Linked DNA regions of Drosophila melanogaster. The protein of the gene in region 1 interacts with the protein of each later gene in a pairwise test. Each region holds a gene or a part of one and is shown in the gene's direction. Other genes may lie near its edges.

Evidence for each region.
Region 2: the proteins of CG3491 (region 1) and trr interact in a two-hybrid assay, tested with the Drosophila melanogaster proteins (one large-scale study listed by BioGRID).
Region 3: the proteins of CG3491 (region 1) and CG31835 interact in a two-hybrid assay, tested with the Drosophila melanogaster proteins (one large-scale study listed by BioGRID).

Annotation. Positions count from the first base shown.
Region 1 is NT_033779.5:14,921,600-14,931,561, forward strand, and holds CG3491 (uncharacterized protein), read left to right. Parts: upstream 1-2,990; 5' UTR 2,991-3,135; coding exon 3,136-6,820; intron 6,821-6,880; coding exon 6,881-8,060; intron 8,061-8,116; coding exon 8,117-8,657; 3' UTR 8,658-8,966; downstream 8,967-9,962. Other genes in the region: side-II (sidestep II), read right to left, coding at 339-498, 1,350-1,480.
Region 2 is NC_004354.4:1,886,097-1,893,078, reverse strand, and holds the start of trr (trithorax-related), read left to right. Parts: upstream 1-3,128; 5' UTR 3,129-3,303; coding exon 3,304-6,982. Other genes in the region: arm (armadillo), read left to right, coding at 960-1,249; mRpL16 (mitochondrial ribosomal protein L16), read right to left, coding at 1,850-2,466, 2,536-2,601, 2,684-2,732. UniProt on the Drosophila melanogaster protein: Histone methyltransferase that acts as a coactivator for the ecdysone receptor during development. Specifically trimethylates 'Lys-4' of histone H3, a specific tag for epigenetic transcriptional activation.
Region 3 is NT_033779.5:14,732,655-14,738,646, forward strand, and holds CG31835 (uncharacterized protein), read left to right. Parts: upstream 1-3,188; 5' UTR 3,189-3,296; coding exon 3,297-4,346; 3' UTR 4,347-4,413; downstream 4,414-5,992. Other genes in the region: CG31775 (uncharacterized protein), read right to left, coding at 4,740-4,997, 5,065-5,076.

The DNA of each region.
Region 1 (9,962 bases):
ACAAGGAAGGGAAAAAAATAAATAAGAGCAGCTCCGGAGAAGAAAAAGGCAAATTGCAATACATCAAATGAGTCGTGGCTATGGGGAGAAATGGGGGCTTAGTCGGGGTATGACAACTGCGACGGCTGCAGCCCTGACTTTATGATAAGAAACCAGAAAACAGACGAGCTCCGAGTGCCAGGAAAAGATGGGGCACGAAAATGCACAGCGTTTCCAGATAGATGATGCATTCAAACAAAGTGCCGCTTGGCAAATTTATGCTTAAAATCGCTGATGCATCACTGTTTCTGTTTAAAAGGGCTTGCCGAAACGTTGGGACCCAGTCAAGGACTACTCACATTTCACCCGCAGTGGCAACTGATTGCTGACCGTCTCGCCCTCGTCGTTTATAGCACTGCACGCATAGTTCCCGGCGTAGTGTTTCGTAATCTTCTGGAGTACCAGGCTCTGATTCGAGCGAATGACGCGGGCGGATGTATTGTGCTCCAGATGAATACCCTGAAATTAAATGGATACATAATTATGAACGAAAATTGTAAGAGATAGTTTATTGGTTAAATCAATAACATGGCGTCTCTCAAACACTTTACGATGCTTATAAATGGTCTCTAAATTGGGTTTCTATAGTATTTCCTAGATAAAATGATAGAACAAAGTAATTACCACTTTTGAACAATATCGTATAAGTCTGTTGTTAGAACTCCGAAATCTATAAGTCTATTAGCAAAACTGAACTAATACAACAATGGATTATTCAGCCATAGTGCTGCCCAGCAATAATCCGTTCTAAAGCCACTCGGGTTCGAATTTCAATTTGCCAAAATCCGCTAAGCGCGTCCGAAAGGCAAAAATTCCCCACACACTCGTGCAAAACACACTTCCTCCCAATGGAGAGGAAGTGGGTTGTTGGCCGTAGTTTGCGGACTGTGGAATGGGAACTTGGCCTGAGTGATTGCCAAGCGACTGCGGATTGCAGTTGAGCGACGGCAAAATCAATGCCGCAAATCCCAAAACTATTTTACCCAAAATGGCACCACCCCATCTACATACATCACACAACCCATACCGGGCCAAAGAAACCACTAGAATGGAAATGAGCAAATGCAGATCCATGCATCAGGACATCGTCGGCGGCCGCCACTGACGGAGGAGCAGCCACCTCAACGCATACGCAACCTGCCATGTTATTGGCACTTAACCAGAACCGAATGCAAGGAGCCAGCCAAGCAGACGCCTTTCAGGGATGCCACCCGGTGGCTGTGGATTGAGCCGGATCCGAATGGATGGGTCCCTGGGTCGGTATGACTGCCCGGCTCACTCCTGGCCAACTTGAACACACTGCGACCTACATTATGCAACCACAACAGTTTCCGCCATTGAGGATTCGATTGTACGTGACACTCGAAGTAAACATCGTCGCCTTCCTTGATATCATCCGGTGTCAAAGTTGAGCCCAAGCGTAACGTCACCAAGGGAGGATCTGCAAAGAGGAGCAAAGAAGGAAGACAATTAGCCACTGGAAATCCAATAATAACCTGAAATGGTAATCTAGAACTTAACTGCGAACGCGTGAATACACTTTCTATACTTTTTAGGTATAGACAAAAACTTTTTATCACACACTTTTTTTAAATAAATGACATGTTGTAGCAATCGTCCTTGAAACATTTTGTGAGCACTTCTATTTATTTCCTGCATAGGTCATGAGCCTTAGAAAATCCGAAATAAAATGTAAAAGGCCTATTAACTCAATGTCTTACAACCAAAATCTTTTCGATTATTCATGCCCCGAAGTTGTTGTGCCATACTTTTTCGAGCTTTGCAACTGTCTTGTCATCGCCCAGAATCCCGCACACTGTCATGATCAAGCTTATTTAATAGTTTTTGCAAATATGAGCGATTTAGAGCAATAACTGGAACAAAGTGAAGCATCAGCCAAGAGTTATGAGGACATGGCAACGACATCCCGCCCATCGACCGCTGTTTGCCAACATGTGTTGCCGCTTAAGTCGTTTGAATTTGCTTAACGAGCCACAAACTTTGCGACAAACAGAGACCAAAAGCGGCAAGAACCCGGACCCAGACAAGGAGACCTAGTACCAGAACTGGAACTGGGACCGGGACCAAGACCAAGACCACGAAGAGGACCTGGACCTGGGAAAGAAATAGGAGCAGGATCGGGAAAAAGGGGACGCACGTGCCAACCTTAATATTGTTGAGTTATTGGCGGCCAAAACCAAACGTCGACAGTCAAGAGTTGGGCAAAACGGAACCCAAGACCAGACCCAAAACCAAACACCAAGCCAAAGCCAAAAAGTTCCCTTCCGCCTTCGCCTGGAAACTTTAGAATGGCCTGGAAAACTTTTGCCCAGCAAGGGTGGCATTTCACCGCCGCCCACTTGTGTAGGCCCCTCGTTTCTCAGAGTCTGCCAATCAGGCAAAGTGCCCAAAGGGCTGTGAAAACTCTTTCGCTGGAAAAGTCGCGTCGCGCATTTCCGCACACATGTTGCAGGCCATTTTTGTGATTATCATTTACCGTTCCACCACGGATACCCTTGCCCCGCAATCTCCCGACAAACTCGTTTCTTTGGCCCAAAACGACCATCGATCGATGGCGGAGCGGAAGTTGCTCAGAATTTATGTGCCACCGTGGGCTGTTGTATTATGCCAACTGACACACGGGATTTGCCAGGGCTGCAAATATTAAAGATATTTTGGCAACGTAAGACATGAAACTTTTTCTACCATATTTAAATTGGTTGCAGCAATTCAATCAATTGAGCACTCATAAATTATAAGCACATTCTTTTGGGCCAATCCAATTATGCACATATTTTTTTGAATAATACTTGTATTAAAATTTGAAAATAAATACTAAGCAACTCTTTTATAACCTAAAAAAAATAAATTTGTTGCCAGCATTTATCGAGCTGGCATTGAGCTGCCCTCTTAATCAACTTAATAGGCTGTGCGAAATTAGGAAACACTATAGTCGCACGAAATAGCAAAATTTTACTCAGTCGATGAGATTGCTTTCGCCAGTACAAGTCGGCAGTTTTAATTATAAATCACAAAAAATTACAAACTAAAAAAAAAAAACAAGTTATCCAAATCTGTGATTGTGAATCCTGCAAAATGCCGTGTAAGAGAAGGACAACTAGTGCCCGACCAACAGCCAGAGCTCGAGAGATCGAAGAGGAGCAAGAGGTCCACGCCAAAATAAGGTCATATTCACGTTCCAGGGCGACAACATTGAAGGCATCAAGCGAGGCCATCAATCGCGACGTTTCACATCCAACCAGCAATAAGAAATGTGAAACCAATCTGAATTCCAAAAATGTTTCGCAAAAAGGACAAAAGTCACAGCTAATGACAGAAAGCGCTGGGAAATTTGATTCGGAGACAAAGAGAAAACGGCAGGCGACAGTCAGTGGTTCCAAGTCCCAACTTTTGGACGAGTTAGCGAGTGATTCAGATAATTATGTCAAGCAACTTCGAACGTTTTTGCGAAGTACGTCAAATACGGACGATGAACAAAAGAGGGATTCACCTGCACGGCAAAGCCGTTCTAGATCAAGACGCAGATGTACACAAAAAAATGAAAATCTCGATGAACCGGATCAAAATACAATTTTTAAAAAACCGGAAGTTTCTTCCAAAATAAATTTGGAAAAACATAACCAGAGGACTTCAACGGATAAAGAAAAGCAATATAAAGGTCAGAAACTAAATTCCTCCATTGAATCGATTTTGAATGTTTATGATGAGTTACCATCACATTCGGACAATCAAGCTTTAAACTTAAGCCAAAAACGTAATAATGCCTGGACTACGAAGTTGCCTGAGAGCAGTCCAAAAAATATACCGAAGAAGAATTTCGATTCAAAGTCTAGCGATTTAGAAGAGGCCGAAGAGAAAACATATTTAAAACGTCAGTCTGAGAGGAATTTTTATTCAGGTTACCGTTCGGAGTCTGAAGGGACAAATATCACGCCGGCTAAACGTTCTAAAGCTCAAATCAACTCAATACCTAAACTAGAGTACAGTACTACGTACGGCCAGGCTCAGAATTTAGTCGTGTCGGAAAACGCTAACATAACACAAAAGCCGAGTTCAGATATAAAATCGCGTTATCGTTCGACTGAGTATAATCAGATTAACAAGCCAGATTCTCAACAGCCCATCAACTATGCCCATCAGAAGGAAGAAACAATAGATAGGCGTCGTGAAATGCACATGAGAAAGGAACATCAATATGTAGATAATCACCTGAACAACCCGGCACAAAATAAGCCCGATCGTACTGTAAGTTTTTTAGAAATGCTCTCTCAGGCCGAAGCTAAAAAAGAAAGTAATCAAGGTGCTAAAAAGCCAACGGTTAATAAAGTTTCTAACGTTTCTCAATATCTAATCGATCTTGGCTTTACTGCCGGTAGCCCTAACCACGATAGCAATAGCAATGATGGTAACGATGAGCAAGACAATATTGATAGGCGCCTGAATGCTGATCTAGATTCTTTATTTACGACTGATGAGCTGGCATGTCCACCTCCACCTCCACTAGCAAAGATTCCAACAAATCTGACAGTTGAAAGACCACATTCTCGGCTATCGGATCCCAAGAAAATAGAATCTGATATAGATGCACGCCTCCAGGCGGAACTGGATTCTCTACCCATGGTAGCGGTACCAGCTGACGAGAATATAGAACCATTAGGTAAAACTGACCAACACTTTTCAGTACCTACAAACAAGAACTTGTCGGAGAACAAAGCTTTTCCGAAACCGAATCAGGTATGCATTCCTCCACAACCAGCTATTCCTCCACAACCAGCCATTCCTCCAGCACCAGCCTATTGTATGGCCAACAAAACCATGGATACAGGAATGTCTAGCGTTGTTCAGATGGCTAATAATCCGCTTGCTTCAACTCAGCATCACGCCTTGCCACAAGTGCCGATAGTCACGCGACTTAAGGTTGATCAGGGTGAGGATGTATCCGTCAAATTTACCACCGGTCTGGATGGACTAATTACCAATGTGCAATTGCTGCCATCAACGATGGCAATGGGTCAGCCAACAGTGAAGGCCACCGAATTAGAAAGCTTTACGGCCCAGCAACTGAATATGTTATTACAAAGTGGACATCCCTACCTGTCCTTGCCCATGACTAACTCTGGAGTTCCAGGTGCCGTGCTACAGGAAACGTTACAGACCAAAGATGCAGGATTTCCATCTGAACAAGCGGTCGAAGATGAGGAGGTTGACTATGAGGAAATAGGGGTGGCCGACACCTTTGCAGCTTACTGGCCCAGCAAACTGAAGTTTGGAAGAGCCCATCCCGATCCCGTGGTGGAAACGGCCACTCTGTCATCCGTTGAGCTGCCCAATATAAACTATCAGTTGGCCCTGCCCTCGAAGACCACCGAATGTTTGAGTGCCCTGCAGCTGGAGGCAGTGGTCTATGCCTGTCAGGCTCACGAGCAGATCCTGCCAAGCGGAGATCGCGCTGGATTTCTGCTGGGCGATGGGGCTGGTGTGGGCAAAGGCCGCACCATTGCCGGCATTATTTTCGATAACTACCTGAAAGGGCGGAAACGTGCCCTTTGGGTCTCGGTCTCCAGTGACCTCAAGTTCGATGCAGAGCGGGATCTAGCCGATATAGGAGCCCACGAAAAGATCCGTGTAGCGACAATCAACAAGTTTAAATACAGCCCCATTGATTCCGAAGAAAATGAAAATTTCAAGCGCGGCGTGATATTTTGCACTTACACAGCTTTAATTGGAGAATCAATGACGACCAACTCGAAGTACAAGACTCGTTTTCGCCAGTTGACCAATTGGCTGGGCAAAAAGTTCGAAGGAGTGATCGTCTTTGATGAGTGCCACAAGGCCAAGAACCTAAGCCTGATGAATGTGGGTAAGTCCACCAAGACGGGAACGACTGTTCTGGATCTACAGAAACTGTTGCCAAACGCCAGAGTGGTCTATGCTTCAGCCACGGGAGCAAGTGAGCCCCGGAATATGGCCTATATGGTGAGATTGGGCCTGTGGGGTCCAGGTACCGCCTATCCAGAATTCTACGAATTTGTTAACGCCGTGGAGAAGCGCGGCATAGGAGCCATGGAAATCGTTGCCATGGACATGAAGCTAAGAGGTACTTACATAGCACGTCAACTTAGCTTCAAGGATGTGAGTTTTCGCATCGAGGAGGTGAACATGTCGAAGGAATTTCGCAAGAGCTATAATTTGTCTGCCGAACTCTGGGCTGACATACACAAGAAGTTCCAGAAGGCGTGTCGCCTAATGTGCGTCGAGAATAGGGTGCAGAAGATTATAACCTGTCAGTTCTGGTGCGCCCATCAGCGTTTCTTCAAGAACCTGTGCATTGCCTCCAAAGTGAATCACGTGGTCAAGATGACGCGGCAGGCGACACGAATGGGAAAGGCGGTGGTCATTGGCCTTCAATCTACTGGGGAGTCGCGTACCCTGGAGCATCTAGAACGTCATCATGGAAAGCTTAACAGCTTTGTGTCCACCGCAAAGATGATCATTCAGTCGTTTGTGGAAAAGCACTTCCCAGCTCCTAAACGCGACTCGTTTCATCATTTACTAAATACGGGTGAGTTTGAGCCGGAGGCACGTTCCCGCCCACCCAAACAGAAGAAGTCAAAAATGAATACCGATTGGGTTGAAGATGATATGGATGCCGAGGCGGGCGAAAGCGACATCGAGATGTACGAGAGAAGCTGTACTGCGGCTGTTGAGAAGATTAAGTCTGGACAAAAGCGGCGAGGACGACCGCCCAAGGCGGACAAAGGTATGTTGATCTAAGTGGTTTATTTTGAATAAATATTAATCATTTTAATCCCTTAACCAGTGGAGAAGATTACCATGCAGGAGCGCATCCTGGAGCATCTTTGCAATAATATGAGGGAACAGGATAACGAAGATGAATCCACAAACACTTCCGACAATACCAAGGTAAAGGTAAACATCACGGAGCGTGATGTAGAACGCTGTATAAACATGCGTGAGATGCTGCTGGAGAAAATCGATGTTCTGGGCAGGAAGTTGCCGCCCAACACGCTCGACAAACTAATCTCTGAACTGGGTGGCACCAATTTGGTGGCCGAGATGACAGGCCGTCGTGGAAGAGTGGTGCGAACGGAGTACGATGGGTATAAGTATGAGCCACGTTGTGAAAACGACTCCACTATGGACCTGGTCAATTATCGGGAGAAGCAACGCTTCATGGATGGCAGCAAGCACGTGGCCATCATCTCGGAGGCGGCCTCCAGTGGAATATCTTTACAGAGTGACAAGAGGGTTTCTAATCAGCGGCGCCGTCTGCACATCACTTTGGAACTCCCATGGAGTGCAGATCGGGCCATACAGCAATTTGGGCGCACCCATCGCTCCAATCAGGTCAATGCACCGGAATATGTATTTGTGATCACCGATCTGGCTGGTGAGCGTCGATTTGCATCCACGGTGGCCAAGAGACTGGAGAGCTTAGGAGCCCTTACCCAAGGCGATCGTCGTGCCACCGATGCCCGTGATCTCTCCCAGTTCAATATCGATAATAGCATCGGGCGCAGTGCCCTTGAGAATGTGATGCAACAGCTGACCAGCAATAAACCACTGGACCGGTCTCAAGTGCCTCAATCGTATAAGGGAAACTTCATATACGATTGTTGCGTGGCAATGGCCGGCGTGGGTATGATCAATGTGCGGGAGGAGAACAAGGTCAAGGTGTTCACCGTGGAGAAGGATAGTAATAATATCTCAAAGTTTCTAAACCGCATCCTTGGATGCCGGGTGGAAGTGCAAAATGCACTTTTTAAATTCTTTCTGGACAAGATGTACTCACTGATCATGCAAATGAAGCGCACAGGACGCTTCGATTTGGGGATTTTAGATCTGGATGCCCATGGAGCAAGTGTAAAATCCATCAAGCTGATGAGGTTCATTAGGAAGCACGCCACAGGAACGGCGGCCACCGAACTTCATACGGTGACAGTGGAACGTGGTATGTCCTTTGAGACAGCCCTAGCCAAGTGAGTTGAAATTTATATGGGTTAAGTGTATTTAACTAACTTATAAACTCCCATAGATACCGAAAGGAGGGCCAATACGAGCACGAAGGCTTCTATATTCTACAAAAGCGGCGCCAAAACAAGAACTCCGCAATTTTATGCCTGCAGGCACCGTCCAATTCATCGGATGTATCAAACGGAAAGATCAATTTGCAAATCTACCGACCCAATACAGGTCCCCAAGTGCGATTGGAGACACATGCCTCCATTTCATCACGATATGTGAAGGTAAGCCCGGAGGAGGCCCAAACATACTGGGTGCAGCAGTACGAATTGTGCTTGAATATGTGCTCACACCTCTACTGGAATCGGACCTGTCCAATGCCGACGGGCTGTGAAGTAGGACTCCGAATGCGTACCTATCACGTGCTCTCCGGGTTAATGCTACCGATTTGGGACCGGATCGAACTCATTATCGTAAATAGCGGACACAAGATCCAGATCATACGCATGAAGACCGATGCAAACAAGAAGATAGTGGGTACGGTGGTACCGCCTGCCGTCTACGATGACCTGGTGGCCGATTTGTCCACGGATTCCCTCGTGGAGAGCCATTAAAATGACACCGCCCAGTGTACGGCGAAGCGCACAGCACTTCTATTGCCACTTTAAAAATATCAACCGAAATTGTAGCATTCAATGCAATACATGTGGCGTAAGCTTTCGCTTTTTCAAAATGCCAAGCACGCTCCACCAGCTCCACCCAGGAGGAGCAGCACGCCCATGTTCCCGGCAATAAACAATGGCCACAGAAGCACATACGGGAAGACACTTACAGCTCGTCTGCGTGCGTATGTGATTCATATGTATTGTCTGCTGCGCTGCGGAGTGAGCTTCGCATACACTAAAAAAAAAATAAAGCTACCCAAAAAAAAATCGTCTTGTTTTTTAATATATTGTATTATGTAAATTGCAAAGGTAATTGGAAGGGGTTGTCAATCACAGCCAGTAGAATGGCTTAAATTTAATTTAAATTAATAATTATGAATGAAATGAAACTTGTTACTTTATTTAACCGCAGTGCTCTTTCTTTTCCAATCCTGCGCTCTTTGGGGGATGTCTGTGATTGCATTCCATGTTTTGTCTTGTTGCCATTGCTAGGAGACCAACTAAGGCTGCCCCGCTCGGTTACATTATAAATTTTAAAACGACCCAGTCGCTTGCACCCTGCCACACATGCGAGATATAAACAAAATTATACAAAGGGGAGGGAAGGATTGTGGCGCATGAGATGGGCAACGCGTGGCATAAACCATGACCAAATGGCCTTGGCAAATGTCGTGCCTAAGGAGCCAAAACGCAGTTGGCATAATAACTCACGCGTGATGCAGATATCGTATTCCAACAGCACTGGCAACAACAACAAAGACATAAAGATGCCGAGGCATATAAATTCAGTTGTTATCTAAATAAGAACAAACTGTTATTTATCTGGCCATAAGGGTATGTAAGGATCTCTAATGAAGTTATAGCCAACAATATTTGCAAATTTCAGTTTTCCTAATCCTTTTTTTTTAAGTAAACCCATGTTATTGGTCTTGAATGATTGTAAGCTCTAATCTGATCATAATTTGATTTCTTTTCTGTAGGACATCAAAGTCTTAAATAAATAAGCAAGTTTAAAAGAACTTCGCAAGCCTGCCCCAACAGAAGAATTTTTTTAAAAACACAAACATTTGGGCGCACATTTATGTGTATGTGGCTACGTGCCGATCATAAAGTTTATTTGCGCCAACGTAGCAACAAACACAACACCGTAAGGACGGTACAAAGCACCGTCAATTGCTATAACGTGAGCAAAAACAAACAAATAAAAAATAATATTCTAAAACATAAAATATGAGCCTGCAAAGTATGTGTGGG
Region 2 (6,982 bases), on another chromosome or scaffold:
CCCCCTAATATCGTTAAACCCTTGAGTTCCACGGCTGCATGCGAAGGAAGTGAATATAACTCCGCCTGTTTCCATTTGCGGTATACAAACATTTGTCGATAAATCCAAATCTTGTGCATCCGATGCCCGACATTGGGCGCCAATTATGTCAATAAGGGATAATAGGGATAAACTTCAGTCTTTTGCGGGATTACTTCCCCTGCTCTCTCACATTTGGAAAAGAATATCTATCTCTCCGGACTTTACACGTAGCTTGAAGATTTTTGCACTACACACACACACGAACACCGATCTACCACAAATAACCACAGAGTGCAACCTTAAAAAATAAGGATCGTGAATAGTAAAGAAACACATACGTTTCTTTGATAATTTCGCAAATTTATTGTTTTGTATAAATCTATTTTGTTTCCTTTCATTAGACGGCTTTTATCTTTAAGGTCTCCCTCCATGAAGGAGCAGTAATAAACTTTATTTCGGTTCATACTGCATGTCACGTAGCCTGCGATAATCGCATAGTTTTAGCCACCCACAATCCATATATTTTATGGTGTATATACTCGTATCTAGTTTGTAAGCCGTGTGTGCATGCAAGTTTCAGAGGACGAATTCCAATCGACAATAACGCGTCCATGTCGTGTCGTATTTTAGACGTATTTAGTTCTTTTTAAGCAGTATTCAACGACAGATTTTTGTTGTTTGATACTCTAGGTTAATGTTAAAGGGTCGTCGTGTACGAGTGGAGTCTGCATTTCGTTTGAATCGGCATAAATCCAATAAGTGTGTTGGAAAGATGCATTTTAGATGAGTTCCCGATTAAAGCGAGCAGCAGTGAATCCACTTTTGCAGGACTTCAAGGTGTCGCACCATCTGCCAGTTGACGGCTGGCGGAGATTGTAAATCCTCTCCACTAATCACAATATTCCCTATCATTCTTTGCCCATCTCGTTTGTTCACAGGATATGATACTCTACCAATAGATTCGATGCAGGGTCTGGAGATCAGCAGCCCAGTGGGCGGCGGCGGTGCTGGCGGTGCTCCCGGCAATGGTGGAGCTGTAGGCGGAGCTAGCGGCGGCGGTGGTAACATCGGCGCCATTCCGCCTAGCGGCGCACCAACTTCGCCCTATTCCATGGACATGGACGTTGGCGAGATTGATGCCGGTGCATTGAACTTTGACTTGGACGCCATGCCGACGCCACCCAATGACAACAACAACCTGGCTGCCTGGTACGATACCGATTGTTAGACAAGCCGAGCTAAGGGTAAGGGTCGAGTATCCATTCGACCCCATAACATAAAACACACGAATTCCCATCCCTGCACAATAGCCCTCTTCCACCGGCTTTGATTCCATCCCGGATCCCGGAATCGCGATCACCGAAACTTGACTAGATCAACGAAGGTGTGGATTTTACTTGACAAATACGAGGAGCTGCGGCAGGTCAAAGTTCTGCTTCCAGAACTGAAGTCCGTGGGAGAAGGCTATTTGCTCACACACCATACCCCGCGACAAAGCATACACACACGCATACATGCATAATATTATACATTTATTATAATGCGAACGAAACGGCAAGAAAAACATATTATATGATGCATTACATATTACCCACGTAAACGAAATGGAAAATTAAACAAATGTTTGCAATAGAACTCGTACATTTCCCTTCATATGGCGTTTTTCTTATTTGCTCCACAATTGGGTGCCGCAGAGTCACGGCTTGGAACAACGAGCCCTAAGTTCGAAGTTCGAACCTACTTTAAGATATTTCCAGTTTTCAAAAGTACTTGAAACAGTTTCGTAACAGATTAACGAAGGATGGCTTTATTAATTGAAGCTATACATCTACAGGTGCTTGCCGAACCACTTGTGGTCCACGGGCGAGAGCCAACGGTGGCAGCCGCTGAGGTTGTTCTGGATCACGTACTTCATGGTAAAGGGGTTCTCATTCTGGCGGGTCTGTTCCTCCTCGGCGACGCGCTGTTCGTCGAGCATCTCCTGGGAAACGACGGTGGCCTGGAAGGGCAGCTGGTTGGCCACCTGCTGCAGGAACTGCTTGACCTCAACGAACTCGCACTTGCCGGCTATCTCGACAATGACGCGACCGGCCTTGATGGGGGTCACGTAGTGGTCGATGGCTCCCTTTCCGCCGCCCATCCGTTGGCCCTGGCCCTTCTTAGTGATCGGCTGCCAGGGTGCGGGAACGCGCCATGTGGCGAACATAGTGTTGACGTTCATCTTGCGTCCGATGGTCAAACGCATCATTTCGTAGTGGCCCCAGCGCAGGCGCCCTCCGCCAGTGGCCACGATTGCGTACTGCTTATGGAGCAGCGTGTTGTGCACCATCTCCGGACCGCGCATGTATCGCAGGCGCTTCTGCATCTTTGGCGGACGGATGTTTGGCGGCAGCTGGGGCTGGCGCTCAATGACCCTCAGCTTGGGTCTCTCCGGCTGCTCCACATCTGGGGGTTCCCACATTCATTCATTTATTGCTCTAAATTCATTGTGCACATTTAAATGCAACTACTTACTCTGGTATTTAATAGGCGGAGCGAAATACTTAAGACCGGCTGTGTTGACAATTGCCATGTTGCCCGCTGCAAAGAAAAGTTTAAGTGGTTTGTTGCAAACTGTTATCGGATTGGATGTGGCTAGGCAGGAAGCGCCACTGCAACTTACACGCAAGGCTTTGCTTAAAGAGCTGGGAGACTAACTTTAATGAGAGCATGGTGAGTTTATGTCAAAATATATTACTTATTTATAAAATTGTATTGTGCAAAGATGTGTTGCATCAACGGCCACCGTTGCCAGATCGAGCTAATAAATGTGGTGCTAAAAACATATATCGATAGACCACCGATTGGTCGAGTGAGCTGACGGCCCTGTCCAGACTATGGTTTATTCTTGCAGTTGAAAATGTGCCATATTGCACGTGGAACACAATAATTATGTTATGTATTAAAAACTTCTGAAGTTAACGAAAAATGATTGCTGTACAAACGTTATTCGATTGCAACCGCCATGGCGATATGTTGAAATGGGATGGGAAAAGTGGTGGGTTTCTGAGTGGAAAACCAGGGATGGGTAAGAACGTTTCAGGGTAATGGTCGTTTTACCATCTGGTAACACTGCTCTGCATACACGAAAATAAAATTTTTTTGACTAATCGTGCATGTTTTCGCTCGGTAAAAAAAAAAGCAGGCCGCGCGAGCCCTAGCTAGCTAGACCGCCGCCCTTCCCGTCCCACGAAACGCAGCGCATCGCATCCGGCGTTCCGCGTTTCCACTTGTGTGTTTGTTATGAATATACCGAAGGTGACAACATCGCTTGGTGCCGCCGAAAAGGCGAAACCCGAAAGAGTAGCATCCGTGGCCGCCGCTGCCTTCAATGCGGTCAGCCTGCAGAAGCGCAGCGGCGACGACACCGCCACTCCGGCGGAGGATCCCACGCGCAAGAAGGCCAAGACGGAGCTGCTTCTCGGAACTGGAACGGCAGCGCCCAGTTTGCCCGCCAAAGCGTCGAGCACCGCGCCGCAGCAGCTCCTCTACCAGCGGAGTGGACAGCAGGCTAAGGCGCAGGTAAAAGCTGCGTCGGAGCCGCAGGATGTCGAGACGGCGGACGGCGTCTGGGACGCCCGCGATCAGCAGATCATAGTGTGCAACTTCGGCTCCGGCACTGAGATGGGTGCCATCAAGGCGGAGGACGCTGACAAGCAGAGTGAGTACAGAATCAGCACTCCAAGGAACAGTCAATCTAACCCTTTGCTACACCGAAACACAGCCTTTACCAGCTTTACCAAAAAGGAGGGTGCCTCATCGTCGGCCTCGTCATCATCGTCAACCGCGTCCGTCATTTCCATCGAGCCCAGTGGCTCGGGGCAGGATCATGCTGAAAACTCCGGCAAATCTGAGGACCTCGACTACGTACTGATGCCAGCCAGCGGCGCGGATAGCTCTACATCTGTGGGTAACTCCACCGGAACGGGAACACCAGCAGGAACGCCTATTGGAGCTACTACCTCCACCATTATTTTAAACGCTAACAACGGAACGGCAGGAGTCAGTGGAGCCGGCACCACTACAATCCTCACACAGAAATCCGGTCACACGAACTACAACATCTTCAATACCACGGCCACTGGTAGCCAAACGCCCACTACAACATTGTTAAACCGGGTGAATCTTCACCCCAAGATGAAAACCCAGCTGATGGTTAACGCCAAGAAGCTGTCGGAAGTAACGCAGACCACGGCGAAAGTGTCGATTGGCAACAAGACTATATCGGTGCCGCTGCTCAAGCCGCTGATGAGCGCTAGTGGAGCGGCCACAGCCGGAGGAGCCACGATTGTAGAGAGCAAGCAACTGCTGCAGCCGGGCGGTCAGGTGACTACCGTAATGAGTGCTGCGCAGCAAAGCGGTGGTCAGCAGGTCCACCCGCACGTCCATTCTCATGCACATCACAACTTTACCAAACTTATCAAACGCGGGCCAAAAAATAGCGGCACCATTGTCTCGTTTTCGGGGCTACAGATCAAGCCGGCGAACACCAAAATTGTGGCCACCAAGGTGGTGAGCAAAAAGATGCTGCAACTTCAGCAGCACCAACAACAGATCCAACAGCAGCAGCAGCTTCAGCAGCTGCAGGTGACCAGTGGTGGAGGCCTGGCTCCGCCCACAGGCAGCATAGTGACTATCACCACCACCAACCCCAGCCAAACGTACGCAATGGTTCAGGATTCCGCAACTGTGGGACCTGCGGCCCATTCGGAAGACGATGCGCCAGCGCCTCGAAAGATTACAGCCTACTCGGAGAACCTTCAAAAAATTCTCAACAAGAGCAAGTCCCAGGAATCGACTGGAGGCCCGGAGGAGTTCACCAACATCAACAGCGTGGTGATTAAGCCGCTCGACAAGAATACACTCAATTGTCCACCCAGCTTTAACATCTTTAAGCAGCAGCAGCACTCACAGGCTGCTCAAAGCCAATCAATCTCCGCGGTAGGCAGTGGAGCAGGCACACCCGTGACGTTTACCATGGCTTCGGGGAATGCCTCAGATCTGGCCACCACCTCCACCGTTTCCGTTTCGGCGGGGACCATCTGCATAAACAGTCCGATGATGGGCACGCGGCCAATAATCTCCATTCAGAACAAGAACATATCCCTGGTGCTGTCCAAGACGACCATGGCCCAGCAAAAACCGAAGATGATAACTACAACCACGTTGTCCAGTCAGGCGGCGCTGCAGATGCATCATGCTTTGATTCAGGATTCTAGTGCAGACAAGGCGGGATCTTCTGCAAACTCCGGATCAGCTACCTCGGGAGCTTCAATGCAGCTGAAACTAACGACCGCCAATACGCCCACCAAACTCAGCGTTAGTCTGGCTCCGGACGTAGTCAAGCTGGAAGAAGTTGGCAGCGAATCTAAAGCAAAGCTACTGGTCAAACAGGAGGCGGTTGTGAAGGATAGCACTGGTACTCCGACCAGTGAGGAGCGGGCTGAGGAGATCGGCACGCCGGAGAAGCGTTTGAACGCCAATGCCACAATGACGGCTATTAACCAGGTTCAAAATCAGTCCGCCAATCAAATTCAAATGGCCACATCTACCTCAACTGCCTCGAATCCCAGCACACCCAATCCTACAGTGAACGCCACACCTATGAACAACCAACGCTCGGCAGCGGAGGATAATGCACTTCTAAAGCAACTGCTCCAAAACAACAGCAGCAGTCATAGCCTCAACCAGATAAGCATCACTTCGGCTCACGTTGGTTCCGCCTCAGCTTCGGCACCTCTTTCCGCCCGCAAGGTTATCAACGTACGGGCGCCCAGCATGGGGAAGGTCAGAAGTTTGGAGGATCAACTGGCACGTCCGGTGATTCCTCCGGTGCCCACTGCCACGCAGGCGGCAGGTAGTAGTAGTAGCAGTGGATCTGTGGCCACGTCCACCACCACCACAACAGTAGCTAGCGGAGGAAGCAGCCAACAGGTAGCCACCGCCTCAGCGACGGCTCTACCTGTTAGTGCGGTCGCAATTACCACACCAGGAGTGGGAGGGGAGGCAAAGCTGGAGCAGAAATCCGATCAGCCAGCAGCAATTATGCAGAATCAGAGCCAAAACCAGGCGCCTCCACCACCACCGCCACCACAGCAGCAGCAGCAGCAGCAACTACACCAGCCGCAGCAGCTGCAACCGTCACCCCACCAAGTCAAGCAGACTGTGCAGATTGTGTCGAAGGAGACGTCGTTCATCTCAGGACCCGTTGCTGCTAAAACACTAGTGACGGAAGCCACTTCGAAGCCGGCTGAACTACTACCTCCTCCGCCTTACGAAATGGCCACTGCTCCTATATCGAACGTCACCATATCCATATCCACCAAACAAGCGGCTCCGAAGGAACTGCAGATGAAGCCCAAGGCGGTAGCTATGTCACTACCCATGGAGCAGGGCGACGAATCGCTGCCAGAGCAAGCGGAGCCGCCGCTTCATTCGGAACAGGGAGCTACTGCAGCGGGAGTTGCACCTCACTCCGGAGGTCCCCTTGTGTCTGCGCAATGGACCAATAACCATTTAGAAGGAGGTGTAGCCACCACAAAGATACCGTTCAAGCCTGGAGAGCCTCAAAAACGCAAGCTCCCCATGCACCCACAACTGGACGAAAAGCAGATCCAGCAACAGGCAGAGATTCCCATAAGCACCTCCCTACCAACAACTCCGACTGGACAAGGTACTCCCGACAAAGTACAGCTGATCTCAGCGATTGCCACTTATGTAAAGAAATCCGGTGTCCCGAACGAGGCACAACCCATCCAGAACCAGAGCCAGGGCCAGGTGCAGATGCAGGCGCAAATGCAGGCGACTATGCAAGGACACCTGTCTGGGCAGATGTCCGGACAAATCTCCGGACATGCCGCTGGACAGATACCCGCTCAAATGCATTTGCAAGTACAGCATCAGCTCCATATGGCAGTTCATC
Region 3 (5,992 bases), 190 kb from region 1:
ATCCACTCCATCCATCACTTGGCTGAAAACTCTTTATGCTCACAAACTTTCCAGCTGAAGCATTTTCGATGGCCCCGGGGGGATGGAGTTCGGTTTACTTTGGACCGGACTGGTTCCGGCGGTGACGTCTGTTTCGGCCACGTTGGCAACTTTGCATGCGGTTTGTCTCCGGTCCAAAGTTCTCGGGCCCTGCGCCCTTTAATGATCCATGCCGCAAATGAATTGCAGTCCAGTTGCAATTGCTGCACTTGATTTGCGGTGCGACTTAATGGTTAACAATTATCTGGTGGCCTTCTGCGGGCAGGAGTTCCCTGTTCCTGAAGTTGACACTAAGTGTGCGGCAGTTAGCACATTGACCAGATTTAAGTCTTCAGAGTTCCCAAATTTAAACAAACTTAGGTCCTAGGTCTCCAATATTATTTAAAGACGTCTTTTTTAACTTATTCCTATTTAGATAAAATTCATAGAATTATATATACAGCCTTTTCTTATAAATGAACTTAACTTAGGACTTAACTTGTGATTGACGGACATTCACCCACAACTAAACCACGAAATGTGTCAGCGACAATTACAAGAATCCGAAACTGTCGCACACCGGCACTTGGCCACGCCCCGCACATCCGGAGCCGCATCCGTAGTCCCATCCGTTTCCCCATCCGTACACCCAACTCCAGGCTGCACAATATCAATTATCGGGCTTCAAGTGTCGCTCAAGTGTCACGTCAAACACCAACACAAAATACGAGCAAAGAGCATCGAGCATCCAGCATTGAGTATCTAGCATCGGGAGACCCGCGAGCACACATGACAATCCAGTTTCCGCCCCGAGCATCCTGGCTGCACTTTGCAACCCATCCGGGCCCCCGAACCCATCAGGACATGCTCCTTTAACGCCTCCCCCAATACGTGTATGTAAGTAACATTTTGCGCTTTTGACTTTGATTGATTACAAAAGCAATTGAGCATATCGTCACGCTGGGGGGAGCAAAAAAAAAAAAAAATCTGAAATCGAACAAAGCAAGGCAAATGAATTAACATAAATAAAAGAGGCCAAGGAACGAATTTTCATTGACAGCTTCCGACAAAAGGAAAAGCGTAGGGCAATTAGAAGTATCCATTTTCCGTTTTCCACCTACCAATTCTAATGAGCAATGCCTTCTAATTTTCATCAAGGCTTCTGATTTTCCAAATCGCTTATGGCTGCGAGATTTCGGTGAAGCTTCTCAGACAGGCTTGCCATTAATTAGCACAATTGAAGCGGGCTTAACGACACCCTTTGCAAGGCTAATGAAAATAAAATTTCAATTACGTTTAATTGATAAACTAATCAACAAAGGTCGACAGGCAATGATTGATGGGGTTTTCTCGTTCTCTTCTTTAAATTTTCGTAGAAGTACATATTTCGTCCTCAACTAAATAGGGCTTTCAAGCCTTTTGACGCTGCTCGAGAGTTTGGAACTTAAAAAAGCACCGCCTTTGTAGCTTTACTTTTGGGCATGACCAATTTATTCTTCGTTTTTTAAACATGTCTTGTATGTTTTTACTGCTTAGATCCGTCAGCCACCAGGATATTGTGCAGAATCAGATATATTCCCTAGGACCGATTTAAACAGGACACCTTTTAAAGCAGCAGTCTCGAATAAAAACCAATGTGGAGCACTTGGAAGACTGCTTTGGCATTAGAAAGCGTACGGAGCATACGTGTGAAGAGGTGCCTTGATGTGCGGCCGTTGCAGCAGTTTGCCTTTTGCTTTACTTTTAATTACCAACTCAAATTACACGGCCAGGCAGACAGACAGACTAACAGACGGAGGAGGAACAGCTGTTTGGCTTGTTCTTGCCAAGGGACAGCCGGCGGAGAACCGCTGCAGAACCGTATCGCAATCGCAGAAGTTGCCCCAGTCCAAAGGCAACCGCAGAGCTCGACTTGCTACAGACCGACAGACCGACCGTCTGCAGACCATCGTTTGCTGCACATTTCATTACAATGCCATTGTATTCAAATCCTATTATAAAGCGTAAAACACTGGGAAAGTGGGAGAAAGGGAGGCAGTGGCGGCAGGACTCCATGTTTGCAGCACGTTTCCACTTTCGCACTTGGTAAACATAAGTTGCCCACGCACACACACACACACTCATTCTGGCGAAGAGATTGCGTTCCGTCCGCCACACTCTATAATATAATTACCAACACCAGCGCAAAAACAGGAGCTCTGCTATGCACTCCCAAAAATGTTCCAATAATTTCAAAGTTCTGAAGCTGACATCTTATTTAAACCTAATAATGAATTTGAAAATTATTTTAAAATATAAGTTCAGAATAGTTTCCTAGTTTTCCAGTCCAATGTATGCACGTCATTTTCATTTATAAGGTTCCGCAGTGTTTCAAAGGACTGAACCATGAAATAATTATTTTATATGTTATCCATTATTTATTAAACATCTTATTTTTAAGAGTGTACTGAATCCACCACAATGGTCGCCGAAAGGGGGTGGTGCAAGGGCGGAGGTGCATGAAGCCGGAAAACTTCTATTACAACTGCCGCGCACCAAGTCGGGAAAATTAAAAAGAAGAGAGCGAGATGGAGATTCAAACCGAGACAGAGACAGAAGAGTAACTAATGGCACAACAGCCACATTTAGAACCGATGTGTTCAACGCAATACCTACTAAAATAGCAATTTTTGTGGATTTTTTGGGTTTTGAATTTTATGTGTACACACACTGAAGCTGTATTACATTTGGACATATGTATAATTATAAATTCAAGCTAAATTTTCAGCTCAAGGGAAGTTTAATTTTCGATAACTGCATTCTGATTTGAGCAAATATAAAATATCCTTTGAGTTATCTTCTACTGTCAAAAGATTTAGATAAAAGATTTAGTTCCTTATCAATAATGGGGGCTTATTTCTCGTTTCATATAGGTTTGGAAAACAAATTGCATTATCGTTATTTGTCACGTAGATAGCTGTGCTCACCGGACAAAATAGTACAGTGCATGTTTATTTAACTTTTTTTTCGCTGTACTTAAGGTTCCAAAAATAAACATTTGTTTAAAAGAGGCAAAGGAAATATGTAGAAAGCTTGAGTAAGTTTGATACATTTAGGTTGAAAAATAGTTTTAAAAGTAGAATTATATGTTATTACCAAACGCCCCGAAATATTTTACATCTATGAAAATCATGTCATTGTATAGATTCGATTTGTTAAAATTTAGAACCCTTTTGCCCGTTTTTTCGACCAGAGTTTAGGTATATTCGCTAAGAACGAAGTTAGCACAAGGATCGAGGATGGGTCACCGCAACATTTGCTGCAACGGCTGTCAAATGACGATCTTCCAGGGTAGCCGCTTCCGGTGTTTGCGCTGCGTGAACTATAACCTATGTGACATATGCTACGATCATCAGATAGAAACGGAAGAGCATCGCGCCAATCATCCCATGCAATTGTTCCCTGACTCGGACGATCTGGTTCCGCTGCTTTACGGCGAAATCCCAGAGCTGGTCCACCTGTCCAATTGCTTCACCTGTCCACATTGCGGCCTACTTGCGCTCACAGCGAAGCGGTTCATCGAACATGTTTACGTTCAACATCGGGTGTCCAATGAATATGTGGTCTGCCCCATGTGCGCCGGACTGTCGGCCGCCGAACTGGTGGCCATACGCCACCTTTCCAAACATCTCCTGCACAACCACATCGATCACGCCAATTACCTAGAGCCCGACACACCGCCACTACGCCGAATATTTACCCGTAATCACATGCGCCACCACCGCCAATCGCAGTTGCAAACAACTCCGAATTCAAGGATATTCGATATATCCGTATGGCTGTCAACTGGACGTGTGAGCTCCGATCCCCAGCTCCTAAGCAACAATGATCCTCCAGAGGAGGCAGCCAATTCAGAGTCCCTGGCGTTAGGCTTGAGTTCCGGGGGGCCATTCGAACACGACGACGACAGATATGTTCTACTTCAGTGGATTGCACAGCAAAAAGTGCAGTGCCACGATACGGACGAATCTCAAAGGCTGCGGCGAACCCTCTTCGTTGAGCACTTGCTGATTTCCATGCTGTGCTGCGAGGAGTTGCAGTTGCCGGATGGAGACAGACGAATACGGGAAGGAAATGGGGAGAGTGATCTAGACCAGGAAAACCATAGCAGTCTGGTCAAGGTCATGTCAGTGATGTCACTGCCGTGGACAGGAGTTTGGCAGACCAACCAGCTAGACGGATCGGAGGGGGAAGGCGAGATACGGGCAGCCAAAAAAGATGGAGTCGATCTGGACAAGGTGCAGATCGAGGAGCACAAAAGGGTGGCTGCTGAGGAGGCCATTGATTAGGATACTCGAAATTGTATCTGTTTTTTCAATCATGTTGAATCCGCTTTTTAGTTGCGTTACATATTTCAAAGAAAAACAAAATTTTTGTGAAAATTTGGCTTATATTTATAATATGGCTTTTATATTTTGGCTTTTATTTATATTTACAATGTTTTAAGTAAAACCATTTGAACATCTGAAAGAGAAGATATTTCCCGTTGTCCCTTATGTTAAGTGTATTTATTTCTGGGCACTATTTAATAAATATAAATGAATAATAAATATAAATTTATTTTCATAAAACTCATAAATTTTCGAGAACGATAAAGTAAAAAATTCCAATTGTTTTTTTATCATAAAGGTGTCATATTTTTATTGAGGTATCTGCGTTAAGACGGTGCTATGAATTGGTTTTTACCAGCCTTGTTGCTGTTGCTGCTGCTGATCACCGAATCCACCTCCGAATCCACCTCCAAATCCTCCTTGCTGCTGCTGCTGCTGATCACCGAATCCACCTCCGAATCCACCGCCAAATCCTCCTTGCTGCTGCTGCTGATCACCAAATCCACCTCCAAATCCTCCTTGCTGCTGCTGCTGCTGATCACCGAATCCACCGCCGAATCCAAACTGAGGTAGGGCAGCGGCCGCGGCGAATAGGGCAATGAAGAGGATCTGTAACAATATTAAAATCAACTTAGTTCTTAAAGGTTTTTCTTTGAAGCGTATATGTAAAACGTACCAAAAACTTCATGGTGCTGATACTTCGGTTAGTCTTGCTAATGTGAATAAAATTTTTGGACGCCTCCGATCTTTTATACTCTCCTGCAATCTCATCATGTCGTCACGCGCCGAAGTATTATCAATGTTCTGACAAAATCAAGTACAATTAACCCAACAAAAATACGAAAAAAATTTCCAGACGTCTGGGAAATTAATATTTGAGCACTGTATCAATGCCTATGCTCAACGGGGGGAACCCTTCAACATCAATCTTATCTGGGAAGTCGAGCCTAATCTAATAAGTCCGCAACAGTTGCTAAGAAAAACTAAGGGCGACTTAGAAGAAGACGTTGTTTGAGATTACTTTAGATCATTTATGTTCCGTTTTCACGCATCACAAACGTGTTACGGCAACAAATGTTCTTGTTTGCTTTTCTGGGTTATCATTAGACTTTCGAAATGAGGAGGGATAATTAAGTATGAAATCCTTGTAATCATGGATTAATTTTTTATACATACGTATAATTATGTTATGTCTTTGAATTTTAGCGCTTAACAGGTTAGACCACTATAGTCGCATTCCTCGATTATCAGATACCCATTTCTTAGCTAATAGAAGAACTAAGATATTTACAAGACAAGACTAGATGAAATCAATGAAGAATCTAGAGTGTTGTTGGCACAGGTTCTGAAAGAATTGGAACTATTTAGAGGTCTGAATCTCATTCAGTTCATACAGACAGGCTTACAGACAGATGGCCAAACGAATACGGCTAGATAGACTCCGCTGGTGATGCTGGTGAAGAATATATATATTCTGTATAGGTAAAGGTTCGGCAACGCCTTCTTCGAACTCCCACAGACTTTTTAAAGAATTTGGTATACTCAATTACTCCACAAGTACCGTCTATAAAAACATAGAAATTATGTGTCTTAAAAAATTGTAT